4 linked regions of the Arabidopsis thaliana genome follow. The protein of the gene in region 1 purifies or fractionates together with the protein of each later gene. This does not show direct contact. Each region holds a gene or a part of one and is shown on either strand. Other genes may lie near its edges.

Evidence for each region.
Region 2: the proteins of APM1 (region 1) and AT4G17830 fractionate together in Arabidopsis thaliana (co-fractionation; one large-scale study listed by BioGRID). This does not show direct contact.
Region 3: the proteins of APM1 (region 1) and AT5G17380 fractionate together in Arabidopsis thaliana (co-fractionation; one large-scale study listed by BioGRID). This does not show direct contact.
Region 4: the proteins of APM1 (region 1) and AT1G64190 fractionate together in Arabidopsis thaliana (co-fractionation; one large-scale study listed by BioGRID). This does not show direct contact.

What each region holds. Positions count from the first base shown.
Region 1 is NC_003075.7:15,965,053-15,972,190, reverse strand, and holds APM1 (aminopeptidase M1), read left to right. Parts: upstream 1-1,633; 5' UTR 1,634-1,772; coding exon 1,773-1,988; intron 1,989-2,308; coding exon 2,309-2,454; intron 2,455-2,539; coding exon 2,540-2,642; intron 2,643-2,756; coding exon 2,757-2,943; intron 2,944-3,021; coding exon 3,022-3,115; intron 3,116-3,216; coding exon 3,217-3,370; intron 3,371-3,460; coding exon 3,461-3,565; intron 3,566-3,647; coding exon 3,648-3,764; intron 3,765-3,880; coding exon 3,881-3,994; intron 3,995-4,134; coding exon 4,135-4,317; intron 4,318-4,411; coding exon 4,412-4,715; intron 4,716-4,799; coding exon 4,800-4,921; intron 4,922-5,004; coding exon 5,005-5,102; intron 5,103-5,198; coding exon 5,199-5,376; intron 5,377-5,465; coding exon 5,466-5,580; intron 5,581-5,674; coding exon 5,675-5,742; intron 5,743-5,844; coding exon 5,845-6,000; intron 6,001-6,096; coding exon 6,097-6,276; 3' UTR 6,277-6,598; downstream 6,599-7,138. Other genes in the region: AT4G33100 (protein phosphatase), read right to left, coding at 65-149, 396-490. UniProt on the Arabidopsis thaliana protein: Metallopeptidase that binds to the auxin transport inhibitor N-1-naphthylphthalamic acid (NPA). Required for embryonic and seedling development as well as cell cycle progression. Homodimerization is required to proper localization and activity.
Region 2 is NC_003075.7:9,913,946-9,918,737, forward strand, and holds AT4G17830 (Peptidase M20/M25/M40 family protein), read left to right. Parts: upstream 1-1,867; 5' UTR 1,868-1,970; coding exon 1,971-2,306; intron 2,307-2,511; coding exon 2,512-2,771; intron 2,772-2,847; coding exon 2,848-2,956; intron 2,957-3,032; coding exon 3,033-3,171; intron 3,172-3,253; coding exon 3,254-3,329; intron 3,330-3,409; coding exon 3,410-3,532; intron 3,533-3,622; coding exon 3,623-3,776; intron 3,777-3,882; coding exon 3,883-3,916; intron 3,917-3,997; coding exon 3,998-4,104; 3' UTR 4,105-4,242; downstream 4,243-4,792. Other genes in the region: AT4G17840 (CAAX protease self-immunity protein), read right to left, coding at 4,277-4,426, 4,508-4,596, 4,676-4,747.
Region 3 is NC_003076.8:5,724,242-5,728,909, forward strand, and holds AT5G17380 (Thiamine pyrophosphate dependent pyruvate decarboxylase family protein), read right to left. Parts: upstream 2,672-4,668; 5' UTR 2,480-2,671; coding exon 1,076-2,479; intron 994-1,075; coding exon 679-993; 3' UTR 518-678; downstream 1-517. Other genes in the region: AT5G17370 (Transducin/WD40 repeat-like superfamily protein), read right to left, coding at 1-47, 188-312, 412-478; AT5G17390 (Adenine nucleotide alpha hydrolases-like superfamily protein), read left to right, coding at 3,399-3,873, 3,960-4,045, 4,151-4,447. UniProt on the Arabidopsis thaliana protein: Catalyzes a carbon-carbon cleavage reaction; cleaves a 2-hydroxy-3-methylacyl-CoA into formyl-CoA and a 2-methyl-branched fatty aldehyde.
Region 4 is NC_003070.9:23,824,772-23,828,879, reverse strand, and holds AT1G64190 (6-phosphogluconate dehydrogenase family protein), read left to right. Parts: upstream 1-1,743; 5' UTR 1,744-1,867; coding exon 1,868-3,331; 3' UTR 3,332-3,552; downstream 3,553-4,108. Other genes in the region: VHA-E3 (vacuolar H+-ATPase subunit E), read left to right, coding at 49-187; AT1G64195 (Defensin-like (DEFL) family protein), read left to right, coding at 832-890, 1,010-1,169; AT1G64185 (Lactoylglutathione lyase / glyoxalase I family protein), read right to left, coding at 3,728-3,784, 3,879-4,014. UniProt on the Arabidopsis thaliana protein: Catalyzes the oxidative decarboxylation of 6-phosphogluconate to ribulose 5-phosphate and CO(2), with concomitant reduction of NADP to NADPH.

The sequences.
Region 1 (7,138 bases):
ATTTGATTAAAGATCACAGGAAACATGAATAGAGCTGATGAAGCAGAGAAGCAGAGTGAGTTACCGAGAGACAGTCTCTGTATTTTTTCCACTCGGCAACACACTCTTCTTTATCCCATTGGCCTTTAACAAACTTCTCCGAGTACCATCTGCAGAAAAAAATCAAGAAAAAAAGATGCAATTTTTAGCGTTTTGGACAGACAGATAAATACACCAACCAAAGGGAAGAATTAGAAAGGAAAAAGGAATAAGACAATGCCATCCAAATGGTCCAAACCTTTCAAAAGACCAGAAATGAAATCCCTGAAAAAAATACCCATTTGGCTAACCAAAGCTAAACCCTTAAACCCAGCAACTAGCTAAATCCATCAAAAGGAGAAACAAACGAAACTCACTTGTTGAAGCAATTGTGGTAAGCGTTTCGCAAATCGGCGCAGGGAGAAGTAGAGGAGCGAGCTGAAGTTGAATCTTTTTTCTTCAATAAGCCCATTGTCGTTGCAATCACCACTAATACTCTGTCCCACCTTAGCAACTCTGAAAATCCATCTATCTATAATTCAGAAAAAAAAAAAACCTATATCATCACTCTTAAGAAAAGGATAAAAATGTAAACAGTGAGACAATAAGAATCTAACACAACAACAAGCTTCAGAATTCATCACAAACAGAGAAATATAATCCAAGATGACCAAAAGACAACTAAAAGATTCATTTTTGATACTCTAAAAATATAAATGAACATAACCAAAGTTGCAGAAAGAATCAAATAGAGAGATTGTATCAAAAATGAAACTCAGACAATGCAAAGTTTTAAGAAGTATGAAGCTTTTCAAGGATAATAGAATTTCAATACCCAAAAAAAAAAGAAAAAAAATCAGATCTCAGAAGGAAAAAGAATTGAAATTTACCCTGAATTTGATTAAAACGGGATATCCCGTAAAACCTCAGATTCTCCGAGATTGAGAGTCTCTCGTCTAACTCAGAAACCGTAAATTTAAACACCCGACCTAGACGACGACGACGACGAAGCTTGGGAAGAACTCGATTGGAAAGATCCTAACGACGTCGTTTCAGAAGACGAAAACCCTAGGCAAGAAAGAAAACTAAATTAGTCTCGTTGACCAAAAAAAGAAAGAGAGGAAATTAACATTAAAAAAGAGAAACTATACAATTCAAAATTTTAAAGTCTTATTATGATGATATAAATAAGGGAATAAAGATCATCTTCATCTCACTGTTAAGTATAATGGCCGAGCTCCAAGGGACAGAGGCTACAACCTGATGAAGCTACGTGGAACATGGCGGATGCTCCTCGAGAAACGGACACGCCGAGCCAAGAAGATCACCCTGGTCATCAGTACAACATGGGACTCAGGGGATGTTGGGAATCTGATCAAGGAGATGATTGAGGATATAGAACGATTAAATGTGTGTTGTTCAAACTAGATCCGCGGGACTTTGAGTTGACGAGTAGTAGTGACATTGAATCTTCTTATGAACAAGTGTAATCTGATTAAACATTTCTTCACTGGTCAAAACACATTTTGTCATATTCGGCCTAGCTTGGAGATGCTAATGGATAATCCAACGTCATTGAATTTGATAGTGATATTATTGAATGTTTTGTAAATGTTATTAACGTTGCGTCCTCTACTAGAAACGAATCACTCGCGTGGCGTAACATAAAACAATTGCTTACAACCCTCGTATTATAAAAGACAAAACTCCAACAAGAGAAAACAAAAAAAAATCATATCTGCAAGTAATAGAAAATGGATCAGTTCAAAGGTGAGCCTCGTCTACCCAAGTTCGCCGTCCCCAAGCGCTACGATCTCCGCCTCAATCCCGATCTCATCGCCTGCACCTTCACTGGAACTGTAGCCATCGATCTCGACATAGTCGCCGATACTCGTTTCATCGTTCTCAACGCAGCTGATCTCTCCGTCAACGATGCCTCCGTTTCCTTCACTCCTCCTTCCTCCTCTAAGGTCTCTCTATCGCGTTTCTTTTTTGCTGTTATGGATTCCGATTTTAGCAATGTGATTGGAGTTATGGTTTTGAGCTAATTAGCGCCTTGGAGATATTCATTTTCATGATTAGCTTCTTGATCTGAGTATTTGGATATCATCATCTATGATTTTTGATTCCAATGGTAAATTAACTAGAGAGATACAATCACGTTTCAGCCAGACTTTTCTGTTCGACTGAAAAACCAATCCTCAACTTTAGAAAACTGTCATGGATTGGAATTGAATCTGGAATCAGCAAAGATTTAGCTTGTTGTTGCTTCTTATGTTTTGTTAAGCAGGCGCTTGCAGCTCCAAAAGTTGTCTTGTTTGAGGAGGATGAGATTCTCGTGCTTGAGTTTGGTGAGATTCTTCCCCATGGAGTGGGAGTTCTGAAACTTGGTTTCAATGGAGTACTAAATGACAAAATGAAGGGATTCTACAGAAGGTAAAGCAATGAGTTTCGATCTTTTTTTACTGTTAGATAGCTCGAGATTAATTCTAGAACGATCTTGTATTTGTCTTGGTGGCAGTACTTATGAACATAACGGTGAGAAGAAGAATATGGCAGTTACCCAGTTTGAACCAGCTGATGCTAGGAGATGCTTTCCATGTTGGGATGAACCTGCTTGCAAGGTTTCCACTTGTTCTTTCTCATTCCCTCCTCTTTCTATCAGCATGAGTTTATCAAGTTGGTGATTTTGTTCTTCTTCTGTCTTTATCTATCAATATTGACACATTGTTCAACAGGCTACCTTCAAGATTACATTAGAGGTGCCAACTGATTTGGTGGCTCTCTCCAATATGCCAATAATGGAGGAGAAAGTCAATGGGAATCTGAAGATTGTCTCCTATCAAGAGTCACCAATCATGTCTACATATTTGGTAGCAATTGTTGTTGGTTTGTTTGACTACGTGGAAGATCATACATCCGATGGTAAATTAATTTTATCCATTATTATCTCCCGTCTAGTCAAGTCGAGAAGCTCTAAATCAAGTTTCATCTTTTTCTCAGGGATTAAAGTCAGAGTATACTGTCAAGTGGGCAAAGCCGACCAAGGGAAATTTGCATTGCATGTTGGTGCCAAGACATTGGATCTGTTCAAAGAGTAGGTCCTTCGTTGACATTTGAAACTTTATGTGCATGCATATTTCTGAGCTTCTTTAATGGATGTATCATCTCATTGCATAAGTCCAATCATTCTTGTAGGTACTTTGCTGTGCCATATCCCCTTCCCAAAATGGATATGATTGCAATACCAGATTTTGCTGCCGGAGCTATGGAGAATTATGGTTTAGTTACATACCGTGAAACAGCTCTTCTCTATGATGAACAACATTCAGCTGCTTCTAACAAACAGAGGGTACTGTAAACATGTCCATTTATTCTCTAGAGGAAATTGTCTTGTGCTCTCTTGTGCAATTATCTAAAGCAGTTAAATTTCTGCTGCTAGGTTGCCACTGTAGTTGCTCATGAACTGGCCCACCAGTGGTTTGGCAATCTTGTTACTATGGAGTGGTGGACTCATCTATGGCTGAATGAGGGTTTTGCTACTTGGGTACATTGCAAACTTAGGTCTTAGTATTAACAATGATTTTGAGTTTTGTTGTGAATATATTGTTACTCTTTATCTGTTTCAGGTCAGCTACTTGGCTACTGATAGTTTGTTCCCTGAATGGAAAATCTGGACCCAGTTTTTAGATGAATCTACTGAGGGTCTAAGGCTAGATGGGCTTGAGGAGTCTCACCCGATAGAGGTAACCAAAATGCTGTCAATATGTCTTCACAGAATAATGTCGGTTTTCCTTAATTTCACTATCGATCCCAGAGATACCCTATTGCCTATTTGTCATAAGTCCATAAATTTCCCCAGGTGGAGGTTAATCATGCTGCTGAAATTGATGAAATATTTGATGCAATAAGCTACAGAAAGGGTGCATCTGTCATCCGCATGCTACAAAGCTATCTTGGTGCTGAGGTTTTTCAGGTTCGCTCTCATGCCCATTTCTTCAGTTACAAAAGAATTGCAGCGTTTATATTATGCATGTAAATATGGTGGCTTCTAGTTCCAGTTTCACTAATGTCTCCAAAACATCTTACCCTACTTGTTTGGCTTTTGGTGAGCAGAAGTCTCTTGCTGCATACATTAAAAATCACGCTTATTCAAACGCGAAGACAGAAGATTTATGGGCTGCTTTGGAAGCGGGATCCGGAGAACCTGTGAACAAGCTTATGAGTTCTTGGACAAAGCAAAAAGGATATCCTGTCGTCTCAGCCAAAATAAAAGATGGAAAATTGGAACTCGAGCAGGTACTTAGACTTATTTCCCTTTCTGGATGTTCTGTTTATACCACTTTGGGATATTGTGCATGATTAAGTAACGAAATTCATTTGAAATTTTCAGTCTCGATTCTTGTCAAGTGGTTCTCCTGGGGAAGGACAATGGATTGTACCAGTGACCTTGTGTTGTGGTTCATATGAAAAGCGCAAAAACTTCTTATTAGAATCCAAATCTGGAGCGTATGATTTAAAGGAATTATTGGGCTGCTCCATTGCCGATGGTAGCGACAAAATTAATGGGACATGTTCTTGGATAAAAATCAATGTTGATCAGGCTGGATTCTATAGGGTGAAATATGATGACAGCCTTGCGGCTGGACTCAGAAATGCAACAGAGAGCCAAAGCTTGACTTCTATCGATAGATATGGTAATTCAACCTTGCAGAATTTTGTTTTCTGGTTGACAGAATGAAATTTCTTTGGAGATAGATATCCTACTTTGTATTTCACAGGTATTTTGGATGATTCGTTTGCACTTACTATGGCTCGTCAGCAATCACTGGCCTCATTGCTCACTTTGTGTAGTGCTTACAAGAAGGAACTTGACTATACTGTGCTGTCAAATCTTATTGCTGTAAGGATCTCCCCTTTCTGTCTTTAAATTCCCTGGTCCATAAGTTTGCTTTTGCTTCTGGCTCTTACTCTTCTTCCATACAGATAAGCTACAAAGTTGTGAAGATTGGAGCAGATGCAAATCAAGAACTGATGTCTGGGATTAAACATTTCTTCATTGGCGTTTTCCAGTTTGCTGCTGGGTAAGCTGTTTTACGCATCTCCAGAATTTAGACTAATGTTCTGTTTTACTAAACAAAAAAAAAACAATGTCGTTACAATGCTGATTGTTCTTACAGGAAACTTGGTTGGGATCCTAAGCAAGGCGAGAGCCATCTAGATGCTATGCTGAGAGGGGAAGTCTTAACTGCACTTGCTGTGTTTGGGCATGATGAGACACTAAAGGAAGCAGTTCGAAGATTTGATGCATTTTTGGCTGATAGGAACACTCCGCTTCTGCCTCCTGACATTAGAAGGGTTTGTTTCTTTTCATAGAACCCGATAACACTTTGAAACTGGAATGGTGAACCTTTTTATTAATTTCTGTATGGGTTTTGTGTTTGCAGGCTGCTTATGTTGCTGTAATGCAGAGAGCTAACAAATCAGACAAATCTGGTTATGAGTCTCTTCTGAGAGTTTATAGGGAAACCGACCTGAGCCAAGAGAAAACACGAATCTTAGGTAACTTGACTGCAAACTTTGGTCTCGTACCTGAAAAATAAAATAAATAAAAATTTGTGGTTCAAGTAGTAATGTTTCCTTTGTGACTTTGCAGGTTCTTTAGCATCTTGCCCAGACCCCACTATAGTTCAAGATGTTCTTAACTTCGTATTGTCTGATGAGGTAGATTATATGGATTTTGCTTTCCACTCTGTAGAGTTAGTAAATAATCAATATCATTGCGCTTGAAAAAATTGATGTGATGTGAGGTTCTTATTCTTCCAGGTCCGTAATCAAGATGCACTTTATGGACTTTCCGGTGTAAGTTGGGAAGGACGTGAAGTAGCTTGGAAATGGCTACAGGAAAAGTGGGAGTATATAGGAAACACATGGGGCTCCGGATTTCTCATAACACGCTTCATAAGTGCAGTTGTATCGCCGGTTTGTTCCTCCTCCCCTTTATGCATATCCATAAAATAGCTATTGATCCTCTCGCTGGCCTTTCCCATTGATTACACTTTATGTTGATTGTCTCAGTTTGCGTCGTTTGAGAAAGCCAAAGAAGTGGAGGAGTTTTTTGCAACAAGATCAAAGCCTTCGATGGCAAGAACCTTGAAGCAGAGCATTGAAAGGGTACATATCAATGCCAATTGGGTGGAGAGTATCAAGAAGGAAGATAATCTCACGCAGCTCGTTGCTCAGCTCTCTTCAAACTAAAAGAACTCCGCTACTCGAGAATTAACTAATCATCTGTGACTCGTGATGCTCATGTTTTCTATAAGCCAAAAACATCTGTTGTTTCTTCTTCTCAACACCGAATTTTAAAAGCACTTTTCGAACTTTTGGATTTGCCATCAATAAAGTTTGCCTTTCGAGGTCCGTTCCGACTCCGACTCGTGGACTACTAACGTGGGATACCTTCATTGTATAGTGGATCATAAAAGTCTAGAACTTAACTGTAGTTGATAACTATTCGTGAGTAATTAAAAATACACACAATCTGATACAGTGACTTATTTAAAAGAATTCATTTCCTTTGCAACTCCTTGAGGAAATAGCTTAGAAAGGTTTTACGAAGATCTTCTCCGCAAAAGCTCGGGAAGGCGTGGAATCTCCAGTTTCGAGATAACGAAGAAGAAGTAGAATCCATGAACAGACTTTCCTTTTTTTGTTGTGGTCAGTCAATTTTCCATTTAAATGGGTTTAGTGGGGAAAACGCTAGTGATTTTTTTATACGGTGAGATACTATATTATAATGGGCCATAACTAAGTAGAAAGGAAGGCCCATTATAGCTGAAGCGATAAGATAAGTCCCACATCGGTTATACAGTAGAAAGAGGAAGAACATATATATAGTTAGAGTTGCTAAGATGATTGTCCCTTCGTGGACATCCGATAAAATTGGAACGATACAGAGAAGATTAGCATGTGCCCTGCGCAAGGATGACACGCTTAAATCGAGATATGATCCAAATTTATAATGCAAACATTTTTCGGATCGATTAAACACAGTTTCTTGTGTCACAGTTTTTTTGTACTTGTTTAATTAGTGAACGAACGAACATATACAATTTGGCTA
Region 2 (4,792 bases), 6.1 Mb from region 1:
TCTTTATATAGGAGTACAAGGAAAGGGTAAAACCCTAGAAACATCTCGATGATGGGCTTAGATAATGGGCCTTATAATGGGCATCCTCTTGATTCATAACAATATGTTGTTTCTTCTAGTTTTGGTCCCCGCTTCCTCACCATCTCTAGCTAGCATCATACATTTTCTTTATTTTATAATATATATTTTCGACATAGCATGTAGATTTTCTATTTATCTTTTTTAAAATTTACACCAATCATTGATAGTATATGTATTGTAAAATAAAAATAAAAATAAAAATATCTACAACGCATGGTCATATTCAAACTTAATTCTAATATTTACCCAAATGATTTTCTTTTCTAGCGGTTGAATTAACTTAGAAAAAGAACAATCTTCACTTAGAGATCCCAGTGACGATTTGGACGCTTAATTATTAGGGTTATCGACTCTTATTAAGGTTCTTCTAAAGAAAGAAAATGTAATACTTTGAAGATGAAGCAAGACAAACCGAAGAAGACAGCAGATATATATATATATATATATATACCGACCAAGATTCGTGTACGTAAAAGCACAACTGAGATATGAATTTGTTGGCATGCAAATAAATTACAGATGTTTGATGCTAAGACCAAATGAAATTAAAAAGGGATTTAGGGATTTTGTATCTGTGAGAGGAACAGTCCATTGAATCAGTGAGATAGGATACTTTAATTATACTGTCTTCTTCTGCTCAGCATGGTTCGAATCCCCATATCAATCATCCATTGTCTCTTTCACCTTTGTTTTCATAAATGGCAAAAACTTTGGTTGCAATTTGCGACAAAGGATGACGTATTCGGCGCCATTTAAAGTTGGAGTTTTAAAAGTAAAAACTATTACTATATCATGTGAAAATATAATTAGATTGTGAAGTATAATTTTTAGAATTCTGTCGTTTACCTCTTAGCATTGTTATTTGATTAGACTAAACTAATAATTCAATTAAATAACAAATCTAATTTTTTCATAGTCGAATTTCATTAGTTAATCGTTTAGTTGTTTCTCTCGTGGATCTTCACATCATCACATGTGCCAAGAAGTTAATATTAATATATAGTCATTTTCCGAGAAGAGTCTATTTGGGTTGTTTGAGTAAAGCGTGGATATCTTTTTCCAAAGACCTTTTGAGAACTTATCAACCACAATCCCTTATATATGGTTGAAGCTGTGATCACTTGTATTACAATTATATTAACAACTCAATCGGCATTAACACAATTGCTTTCGATTGGATCTATCAGAAATCGGCATTAACACAATTACATTATATATCACGCTAGGTCTGATCAGCTCCATGTCAATCTCGTTGTTTGTGTGCTCTCGGTTTAGTTATGTGACTAAGAAGATGAACCGACTTGGATAATTGATTGCCTGGTTGCAATATTTTCGAAAGTGATAGGATATCAACTGTTTCTTTTCAATCCATAACTTACATACTTAATGATATAACCACATATATATAGAATCGTGTGGCTGTCCCGAAACACGTGACCATACCATATCGTATTCGAATGCACCTACTTATCAACTATTTGAACTGATGTGGATTTAAGAATTGGTCATATATTATCCTCCATGCTTCATAGGGTAATATCCAGAGCGATGTTGCAACAGATCCTTACTTGATGCGTGGCCAATTGATGTTGCTTGTGTGAGTTGCCATAGATCCTAAAGCCAAGGAATACATTTTGGAATCCATAGAAGACATGAACAACATTAAGCAAAGCCTTCTGTAGATTTTTAATTCTTTTTCGTTGTTGAGGATAGTGATATGTACATTAATTAATTTGGTTCCGTATAATTTTTTAATTAATTAGCGTAACACTCCACCCGAAAAGGTCCAAAACCTTAAACAACACACGAAGCTCGTAGACAAGCTGACCAAAACCTTATTAGTTTTGTTTGCAAACCCCAAAAGAAAAAACATCTTTGGTGTAACAAAAATGGCTTCGTCTTCCAAAGCACTGATCGAATCCATAGGCTCTCTTGACAAAGACTCATACGTTTCTCTCTTATCAAAACTCATAGGCGAATCTAAATTCGTCCAGAACAATCCGCCGGAGCTCATCCCTCAAGAGGACCTAATCGTCAAACACGTCCTTGACTCTCTCCGTCCTTATAGCACAGAAACTGGTGGTGGTCCTCTGGTGATCAATCATGTCGCGTATCATTCAGGTAGAGGTAATCTCATCGTTGAGTACCCAGGATCTGTTCCCGGAAAGATCTTGTCTTTCGTCGGAATGCATATGGACGTCGTCACTGCGAATCCTGATGATTGGGTAATTTTGATTGATTCTAAATATGTGATTTTGATCGGTGCCCATTAGAATTAGCTTAAAATCTGATACTGGGTTCTGTTTAATTTCCGATGAACTGATCTGAATTGTTCCAAATTTCAAAGCTTTCTCTGTTTTGTGTACTCTAGGGTTTAATCGGTTACATTGAATTTTGGATTCTCTGGTTGACTTCGGTTTTTGTTCATAGGAATTTGATCCTTTCTCGCTAAGCATAGATGGTGATAAGCTTCGTGGTCGTGGGACAACAGATTGTCTTGGTCACGTTGCTCTTGTCACTGAACTCATGAAGAAACTCGGGCAAGCCAAACCGGCGTTGAAATCAACGGTGGTGGCGGTTTTCATCGCTAGCGAAGAGAACTCTTCCATTCCTGGTGTTGGTGTGGACATGCTGGTGAAAGACAAACTTCTTGATAAGCTCAAATCCGGACCCTTGTTAGTTTCCATTCTGTTAGAAATTTCTTGGGGAGTTTTTAGATGAAAATTGAAGGATGATTGAAGCTTATTGATGTGTATTCTTTTGAAGGTATTGGATTGATACAGCGGATAAGCAGCCGTGTGTTGGAACTGGGGGTATGATACCATGGAAGCTTCAGTTTACTGGAAAGCTTTTCCATAGCGGTTTAGCTCACAAGGTATTTTATATATGAATGGATTACTCTAGATGAAGTTGCAAACTTGGCATTGATCTTTTCTTCTGTTTGTACGAAGGCGATTAACGCGATGGAGTTAGCAATGGAAGGGCTTAAGGAAATCCAAGCTCGGTTCTACAGAGACTTTCCGCCTCACCCACAAGAGGAAGTTTATGGTTTTGCAACACCATCCACCATGAAGCCAACACAGTGGTGTTGTAAGTTTTGGAATCTATAGCATGTTGTGTGCCTAATGACTTTACATGTTGTCTACTTACAATAAATTGTTTGGTTTTGCAGATCCAGCAGGTGGAATCAACCAAATCCCCGGAGAATGTACTGTTTCGGGTGATGTCAGGTTGACTCCTTTCTATGAGTAAGTCTCTTCACACTTGTCTTACTCGTTTCTTCAATGCATTTAGACACACTTTAATGGCTTTTTGGTTGTTTTTGCAGCGTGAAGGAAGTGATAACGAAGTTGCAAGAGTATGTTGACGACATAAACGGTAACATAGAGAGGCTCGAAACCCGTGGTCCTGTTTCAAAATATGTCTTACCAGATGAGAATTTACGGGGAAGGTTTGGACTTTCTTCTTCTCCTGATTCTATTCTTTCTCTCATTTTATTGTCCCTACCGAAATCTTAAAAAGTCTTAATTGTCACTTGCAGGCTCACGTTAAGTTTTGATGAAGCATCAGCTGGAGTTGCGTGTAATCTTGATTCTCCCGGCTTTCACGTTCTATGCAAAGCAACCGAAGAAGTTGTTGGACACGTGAAGCCTTACTCGATCACCGGTACTTTACCTCTAATCCGAGACCTCCAGGTAAACCATTTGATAAACCGTACTTTAACTAGACTCAAGACTGATCTTTCAGAGTTCTCTACAACTTACTCTTTCTAAACCAATGAATCATGCTCTTGGTTTGTAGGATGAAGGTTTTGATGTGCAAACTTCAGGATACGGTATTACAAAACCCAACTCGGATTCTCTCCTTTGCTGAATTTCCTCATCTTTGATCCTTATCTATTTTAATTTTGTTGCAGGTCTCATGGCTACATATCATGCAAAGAACGAATACTGCCTTCTTACAGACATGTGCCAAGGCTTTGATGTCTTCATCAGGATCATTTCTCAACTTGAACAAGTATAAAATCAGATGGAAGATCATAAAATAAAAGCTTCACATAGCTACTCTCTTATTAACTAAATGGTTCTATACATTTACTTTGCTTCTATCTATTTGTACAAGTCAATGGTGGCTCAATACTTCAGACACTTTACAAAATTTAAAACAAAGGATAATGTTTTATACAGTTATTTATCTATCTTGAGTTGTTGTCACCTTCAGTTTCAAGTTTCTGAACACGTAGCCGGAGTCTTTGCTGATGATGGTGTAGTTTCCAGAGACCATTACCCAATACAACGGCTGAGTATATACCATGTGTGATGATAGGAGCAAGAAGATTGTTTGTCTGCAATATTTTCAGTTTGGTATCAACGATTTTACTACGACATGTCGAAAAAAGAAATGCGTGAACAGAAGAAGTAAAAACCTGAATCCATTCAAAGCCGAGGTATAGACCCAAAAGCCCTTCAAGAAGAGGAGAGTAGATTTTCTTCATCTGTCTTCGCTCATACCACGCTGCAAAAAGGAACATAGAATCCTTAGTGTGTGATAGTGAACATATCTAAATCCTTATGCTAAACTGAGTTTTACGAACCTGCAAACAACTTCTTCAGCTCGTCTCGGGCAGAGCGAGTTTTCAAGACCGGTGCCATTATATAAGTTGGATCTAAGAGAAATAACAAAACAAAATCAGCTATGAGGTTAAAGGTTT
Region 3 (4,668 bases), on another chromosome or scaffold:
ACTAGCTTCAATGCTTTTAGTTTAGTCCTCTTCTGATAATTAGTTTCCTGATGCAATTTCCATATAACTAATCACTGATTTACATAAACAAGTTCAAGCTAGAGAAGATTGGAGAATTCTCATTGATTCTGCAAGACTCGACCTTTACTACATAAACTTGAAAAAGTTGAATTTGTAGTAAACTGACCTGTTCAGGCTTTGGCTCGGGTTTTTGTTTCGTTCTTGAAGAAGAAGAAGACTTTGCACCAGGGATAGGACCTTTAATGGGAAAATATCTGTTCTTCTCCTCGTCGTAATAAAACCCAGGAAGTTCTGAAAAAAAAAAAAATCAAAGATAAACCAAATTCCCACATCAAAATCTCGGATACGCAATCGAAAATAGAAGAATCCGTCGAGGAAGAAGATTCAGACCTGGTTTCATGTTGTGTCGGACTTGGAGTCGACTCTGTTCTCTGTGTTCTTTCTCATCAGACACCATTAAAGGCTAACATGCGCCATATAAATAGCTTTAGGTTTTAAGAATTGAACCGGAAACGTGTTTTTATTCAATTATGGTTTAAAATGGACCGGTTTATGATCCGGTTTACAATAGTGAAAAACAGAAAACTAAAACGTATATCCTTTTTGTTCACAACAAACAACTTCAACATTATTTAAAGGGACTCTCCACAAAGCTTTTTAGTTCTTGTGCTGTAATCTCCCACTCTCAGCACCAGCAAAAGGATCAATAATAACATTTACCACCGCGGGTTTTCTTGCGGCGAACGACTCAGCGAGAGCGGATTTAAGCTCATCGGGTGTTTCCACAATATAACCTTTGCCTCCAAAGGCTTCAATGAGCTTGTGGTAGCCTGCATTAGGAACAAATGATGTTGGTGCTGGATCTTCTTTATGAGGACCGGAGATTTCTTCAGGTCCCCTTCGATCACCGCCGTAGACACCACCATTGTTGAAGACTATAATCACCACAGCAAGATTGTATCGAACCAATGTCTGCAATCATCATTAAAGACAAAAGTTCAGACAAAAGACAATTTCCACATTATGCTAATAAGTATGTAAATCTTTTTACTACCTCGACTTCCATGGCGCTGAAGCCAAAACCAGAGTCTCCTTCAACAGCGACAACAAGCCGATCAGGAGAAGCAACAGCAGCAGCAATACAATAACCTAAACCAACACCCATAGTTCCCCAAGTTCCTGCATCAAGCCTTGTCCTTGGCTCTTTCTGAACCAAAACAGATCTTCCTACATCCATTGTATTAGCTCCTTCCGATACCACAACAGGACTCGGTCCTTCCACAGCCAAAATAGCGTCTCTGATTATCCTCATAGGAGTCAAGAAATTGAAAGGAACCACATCTTTAGCAAGCTGTATCTCCATCTTCTCACCATTCTCTTTCGCCTTCTTCGAAATCGATTCCACCCATGAATTAGACTTCCCTAAACAAAAAGGATCGTCTTTGATCTCTCTATTCAACAATCCAATCACAGTTTTAGCATCTCCAACAATCCCCAAATGAGGTTTCCTTAGCTCAATCTCTTCCTCAGAGACATCCACCAATATAAATTTTACATCTTTATCCCATTTAGGCGACTCTCCGAAATGAAGAAGCCAGTTAAGCCTAGCTCCAACCACCAACGCGACATCACATTTCCCAATAGCAAGAGACCTCGCCGCAGTCGCCGAGAACTCGTGTGTGTCCGGTAACAAACCTTTACCCATCGGAGTTGGTAAAAAGGGTATTCCAGTAATTTCAACAAGCTTCTTCAGCTCATCTTCTGCTCTCGAATACGCAGCTCCTTTACCAAACACAATCAACGGCCTCTCAGCTTTCCTCAGCAACGAAACCGCCGATTCAATCTCCGATCTCAGAGATCCACGAATCGGTTCTTCCTTCCGTGATCTCTCAACCTCATCCACCAATTTATCAGCTTCCGATTCCGATATCTTCTGACGCAACACATCAGTCGGAATATCCAGATAACACCCACCGGGTCGACCCGAAACAGCTCGATCCAAAACCCTAGAAACACAATCAGGGATTTCACGAACATCTTTCGCTTTCTCTGATAATTTCGAGAAAGCTTTAACCGCTTCGATCTGATCAAGCTCCTGGAAATCTCCACGACCAACATCTCTCTGATCACAAGAACCAGAGATCATCACCATCGGCCATGTATTAACCCAAGCGTTGGAAAGACCCGCGAGCCCATGAACACAACCCGGACCCGAAACCGTTAAAAGGATACCCGGTTTACCCGTGAGGTAACCGTAAGCTGAAGCGGCGTAACCAGCGGATTGTTCGTTGTGGAAGGCGATGAAACGTATACCTAAAGCCATAGCTCGGCTAGCTAGAGACGTGACGGGGATTCCAACGACGCCGAACATGTGGGTTACGCCGAGATGAGAGAGTGACTTGGCCACGAGAACGTTGCCATCAATTGACGGTGGAGTGGTTTCTGATTTATCCGCCATGTTCTCTTGGATTTGCTCAAAGTTTCAGTTTCTTCTACTTGCTTTAGTTTCTTTATATAGCCTTTTGTATTTGTGTTTTACTCTTACTGTGATTACGTGTTTTGCATTAATGCTACTATTAGCCTATTATTGACTTCTTTATTTGCATTTTGTGTGTTCTCTGAAAATTTTATCTACAAACTTGTACACGTAATTATGTGTGTTTTGCTAATTTAAAAGTTATCTACGTAGCAAATAGTAAAATTCTCAACAAATTGATTATACGACCAAACTATACATGAATTTCTTTATTTTTGGCAACTTACATTATTCAATAACAAAGTAGTATGACAGATAACTTAATTTACAAAGGTATTGTGATTTAGTGATTCAATAAAATATATCTTTGGTTTTGGTCACTAGCGACTCCTACTTACCTAATCTTCTCAATAATTTGGATTTGGATGTGATAAAATGATAAATTTATGAGTTCATGGTTTGGAACAAGTGACCTTGTATAACCCTTGAGGGCTGCCACTAGAATTGTTTTGTAGTTAGCAAAGAAAACAAATCAAATTTGGATTTGTTCTTTTACACAAAGTGGATGATTTTGACCACGACAAAACTAGAGCACCACTCAAAGATTTCTCATGATTTTGCGAGTCTACAAAATAAATTTTTTTTTCTCCAACGGTAGTGAATTCCACAATCGATTGAGCTAACAATTTATCAAATAAACTTGGACTCGTTTAATTTAATGAAGAAAACAGAAGAGCTTGACAAAAAGAAAAAAACAACAACGTGTGGAACCATTAACAATCAAACATCTTTAATGGCACGCACGTCCTCTCTCAAAAAATTTCCTCACGTATACATACGCTCAAAACATTCAAGAACCAATGCTAAGGTTCCCATTTGAGTTCTTTTTGTAAACAAAAACATGGCGAGATCGCTCAAGAAATCAGCCAAGTTGAGTCTAAGAAGAGTCCGGATCAATTCACCTTCGATTAGGTTCAAACCGGACTCGAGTTCCATAGAGAGAGACCAAAGAATCGAGTTTCTAGGCGAAAATGGTGATGATGCCGGATCCGGAGAAGAAGACACCAAAGAAGCAAACAATGAAAGTGAAGAGGTTGAAGATAAGGAAGAAGAAAGAGTCAAAGTAATTGTAGAGGAGGAAGAAGAAAAAGAACAAGATGATGCCAAGAGCTTTAACATTGGAGGCGGAGAAGGAAAAAAAGAGGCGGTGGCAGCGGTTGAGGCGGTTGAGGAGGAGGCGGAAGGCGGGAATAGAGTAATGGTGGTGGTTGATAAAGCGCTTGCTTCTACCGGAGCTTTAGAATGGGCTATTACGCATACTTTACAACCACAAGACACTCTTTTTCTGTTATACTTTGCAAAACCGTTTAGAAAAAGTTCTTCTCTTTCTCTCCTCTTTGTCAATTTTCTTGTTTAAGGTTTGTTTGGTTTGGCTAATGAGGTTTTTCGGATTGAGTTTTAGGTAAAAGGAAGAACCGAAAACGCGAGGTGAAAACCGATGAATTGGTCCATACTTTAAAGAAACTGTGCCAAACGAAACGACCCGGGGTGAGTCACACTTGGTATTCGATTGTTTATACATATAATGAAAGCTACACTATTACTGTTCTGATCAAATTCTGGCGACGTGTGGATTTCTTTTATGAATGTCAGATAGAAGTGGAGATAAGGAGGTTAGAGGGGAAAGACAAAGACAAAGGGCAGAAGATAGTTGAAGAATCAAAGAAACAACAAGTGAGCCTTTTAGTGGTTGGACAAGAGAAGAAACCTCCGGTCTGGAGGCTATTGAAGAGATGGGCGTGGAAGAGACGCCGTGGACACGAAGGTGTTCTCAAATACTGCCTCGAAAACGCCTCTTGCATGACAATCGCGGTTAAACCCAAGAACCGCAAGCTCGGCGGTTACTTAATCACCACCAAACGCCACAAAAACTTCTGGCTTCTCGCTTGACAACAACGCAAGTTTTCCTCTTTTGTGTTTGTATCATTCATAAGGCTTTAAAATTTTTTCACCTATTTCATCTTTTATACATGAAACAAACTTGCTCCAGTACACAAAAATCAAATAGGCCTTTCTTGGATTATTGATATAACAATGTTACTGCACAAGAACTATGAACAATTTTCCCTATCTTCTGCTGGTTCAATCGGTTAATGATTCCGAGATTCTGT
Region 4 (4,108 bases), on another chromosome or scaffold:
AGAATCAAAAACTCTAATACCAATATGGCACTTGTGGATATATAACAGTGCAGGAGGAGTGGTTTTGGCTTCTCGTGATGGGAAAATCGTGTGTGAAAACACGCTTGATGCGAGGTTGGAGGTTGCCTTCCGCAATAAACTTCCAGAGGTTAAATTAAAATCCCCATTTGCTCTCTTAAATTTGTAGTACCATGTTCCTAAGCTTATACCTTCTTATTGGTTTCAAAACTCTTGAAACCTCATTTGTCTTGTCCTAAGTATTTTTAGTTTTGTTCTAAAGGATCTTTTCTTGAAATGTGTGTAGATCCGAAAGTCGCTCTTCGGCAAGGTTGGTGCAGCTTGATGAGTGACTCCAACTTTATAACCAAGGAAAGTTTGTGGCTCCATTTATCCATTTCTTTCTATTGTCACCATTTTTTCTAAATTATGTGTAATTTGTTGATGGGCATTGGTCTTTTGTTGTTAATTGATATAAATATTTGTTTGGTTTGGTGGTGTATTGATAATGATAAGAGTAAGTTGCTCATCATCTTGTCAACTTTTTATCCTAACTTTGTCACACTTTTTGTTACCTAAGATTTAGAACTTCTCCTTCGTGACACATGGTTGATTACAAGAAAGAAAGCGTCACAGGATGGTCAAAGTCTCATCCTTCTTCGTCAAATTCACATACTTTTTTTTAGATATACATAGCCATATTTATTTTTAGCTGTATATGCCTAATTGCCTATTTATTTAGATGGGTTCAAAGTCTCCTCCTTCTTGGCTAAATTCACACACTGTTATAGTGTTATTTGTTTGAAGGAACAAAAAAGAACTTCAATAAAGAAAATGGCGTCTAACAAAATCTCCTTCTCCTTTGTTCTTTGCCTATATATGTGCTCTCTATTGTTCATCATTACATTACACATCAAATAGACAATAGTTCATAGAAATCATTGTTTCTAATTTTCTTGGTTTAGTAAATGAACCCCTTAACTTTTTTTCTTATTAAAATTATAGAGTTAAGAGATGCAAAAAGTATGAATCCAACGGGAAGACGATGCCCAGATCCTAACGGTGTGGAGAAGAAAAGTATGTGTTACAGTTCCTGTAAGACACAAGGTTTTATGGGTGGTTCTTGTCAAGGCCACAAGGGTAATTACATGTGCGAGTGTTATGAAGGATAAACACCATCTCATTGATAAACTCTGTCTTGTTTAATTGATCCACTTAGTCTCCTATCATCATATAAGAAAGATACTTGGTTATCCAGTAGAATGGTGAGATCGTAGATGGAAAGTTGTCCGACCATTCAACATCGTCAAAAGGCTAATGTATCAAGTTGATGTAAAATAATTGAAAAACTTTTATAGAGACTAAAAAGAAGAGGTAGAGAGTCCAAGTTCGACATGGACACTACCATATTGATCGTATTAAAAAATGTTGTTACAACCAAAATATATATTAGATATGAAACATCATTAGAGATTAATAAATCAAACAGCCCACTAGTTGGATATTAAAAAAATTAAACGAATGTTATTGTATGAATTTTCGTAAGTCATTTGCATATAACGACAAGCAAATCCTTAAGCTATGATTAAATTTTTATGTTAGAGTGTGATTTGTAAACATTTTTAATTTAACAAAAACATTAGAATCATATTTGAAACAAAAACGGCAACGTTTGTTAACATGGAGTTCTAGACGAGACGACACCGTTTTGAAAAACATAGAGATCATCGTTTTCGTTTGTCCCTTGGCTCCATCGACGAGTCCGTCATTTTCACAGTATAAATATCTCCACCCACTCTCTCTCATCACTCCCACTACCTCATTTTTCTCTCTCTACCTAACCAATCCTAAGCTCATCTCTCTATCTCCAATGGAGTCCGCCGCACTATCCCGAATCGGTCTCGCCGGACTCGCCGTGATGGGCCAAAACCTCGCCTTAAACATCGCCGAGAAAGGTTTCCCAATCTCAGTCTACAATCGAACCACTTCCAAAGTCGACGAAACCCTAGATCGAGCCGCCGTCGAAGGAAACCTCCCAGTCTCCGGCCAATACTCTCCCCGCGATTTCGTCCTCTCGATCCAACGGCCTAGATCTCTCATCATCCTCGTCAAAGCTGGAGCTCCCGTTGACCAAACAATCGACGCCTTCTCCGAATACATGGAGCCAGGAGATTGCATCATCGACGGTGGAAACGAATGGTATCAGAACACAGAGCGACGGATCTCCGAAGCTGAGCAAAAAGGATTGCTCTATTTAGGTATGGGAGTCTCCGGCGGCGAAGAAGGAGCTCGTAACGGTCCTTCGTTAATGCCTGGTGGATCATTTCAAGCTTATGATAACATCAAAGATATTTTGGAGAAAGTCGCAGCTCAAGTTGAAGATGGACCTTGTGTTACTTACATCGGAGAAGGTGGATCTGGAAATTTCGTGAAGATGGTTCATAATGGGATTGAGTATGGAGATATGCAATTGATCTCTGAAGCTTATGATGTGTTGAAGAACGTTGGTGGATTAAGCAACGAGGAGCTTGCTGAGATTTTCACTGAGTGGAATTCAGGTGAGCTTGAGAGTTTCTTGGTTGAGATAACTTCTGATATATTTAGGGTTAAGGATGAGTTTGGTGATGGAGAGTTAGTTGATAAGATTTTGGATAAGACTGGTATGAAAGGTACTGGGAAATGGACGGTGCAGCAAGCGGCGGAGCTGTCTGTTGCAGCTCCGACGATTGCTGCTTCGTTGGATTGTAGGTATTTGAGTGGGTTGAAAGATGAGAGGGAGAATGCAGCGAAAGTGTTGAGGGAAGCTGGATTGAAAGAAGAGATTGGTTCTGCGTCGAGTGGAATCGATAAGAAGAGATTGGTTGATGATGTTAGGCAAGCTTTGTATGCTTCCAAGATTTGTAGTTATGCTCAAGGGATGAATTTGCTTAGAGCTAAGAGTTTAGAGAAGAGTTGGAACTTGAATTTTGGTGAATTGGCTAGGATTTGGAAAGGTGGTTGTATTATAAGAGCGGTTTTCTTGGATAGGATCAAGAAAGCTTACCAGAGGAACCCGGACTTGGCTAGTCTTGTGGTTGATCCTGAGTTTGCTAAAGAGATGGTTCAGAGACAAGCTGCTTGGAGAAGAGTTGTTGGTTTGGCTGTTTCTGCTGGGATTAGCACGCCTGGAATGTGTGCTAGTCTTGCGTATTTCGATACTTATAGACGTGCTAGATTGCCGGCGAATCTGGTTCAGGCGCAGAGAGATCTCTTTGGAGCTCACACTTATGAGAGAACCGATCGTCCTGGTGCGTACCATACTGAATGGACTAAGCTTGCCAGGAAGAACCATTGAAAAATCCCTTTCTGTTTTTGTAAAAGCCCTATTTGTCTTGCTTATTTTTGAGCAATTGGAAATGGGATTTCAAACCACATTGTTTAACACGAGTATTTTGTTCAGATTTCAGAATAAGAAATGCAGCAGCACCTTGATTTTTGTTTTTGTTTCTGAACATCTTTGCTTTTAAATTTGTAAAACATATCTCCCCTGTCTTTAATAGATCGAATGTCTAGACGATTAGTTGAACAATCAATTAACGACTTTTCTGCGCCGGATATATTAGATTTACATTTGTCTTAGAGCTAAGTCCTTACCAAACATCCGATTAGCAAAATTTTGAAACATTATTCAACCAAAATCGGATCGAAAAAAACAAAATCAAATCCACATAATCCGAACTGAATAGAAAACTCATGAAGGTTCATAGAGTCCGAGCACATGACCATCAAGACATCTCACAGAAGCAACCTGGTTATCAAGAAAAAGAAAGATTTGAATTCTTATCAAAAGAAATGTTAGACAATGAGATTAAAGCATTTGCAGGAAGTGGTTGCGTTTTTACCTTGCCATGGACTTCATATTTGATAGAGCCATCGAGTTCAGCTCCTAATTCCATAAGTTTAGAGATTGTTGTATTAATGTCTGCTACAGTGAACGATAGTAACGAAGAGTATCCTTTCTCACTCATCACATGCTCGCTGCATCAAAAACAATGATGGCTCTATAATTTAACACAGATTCTCTATAAGTTCCACATTTTCAATCAGACAGGACAGTGAACTGAAGACAACC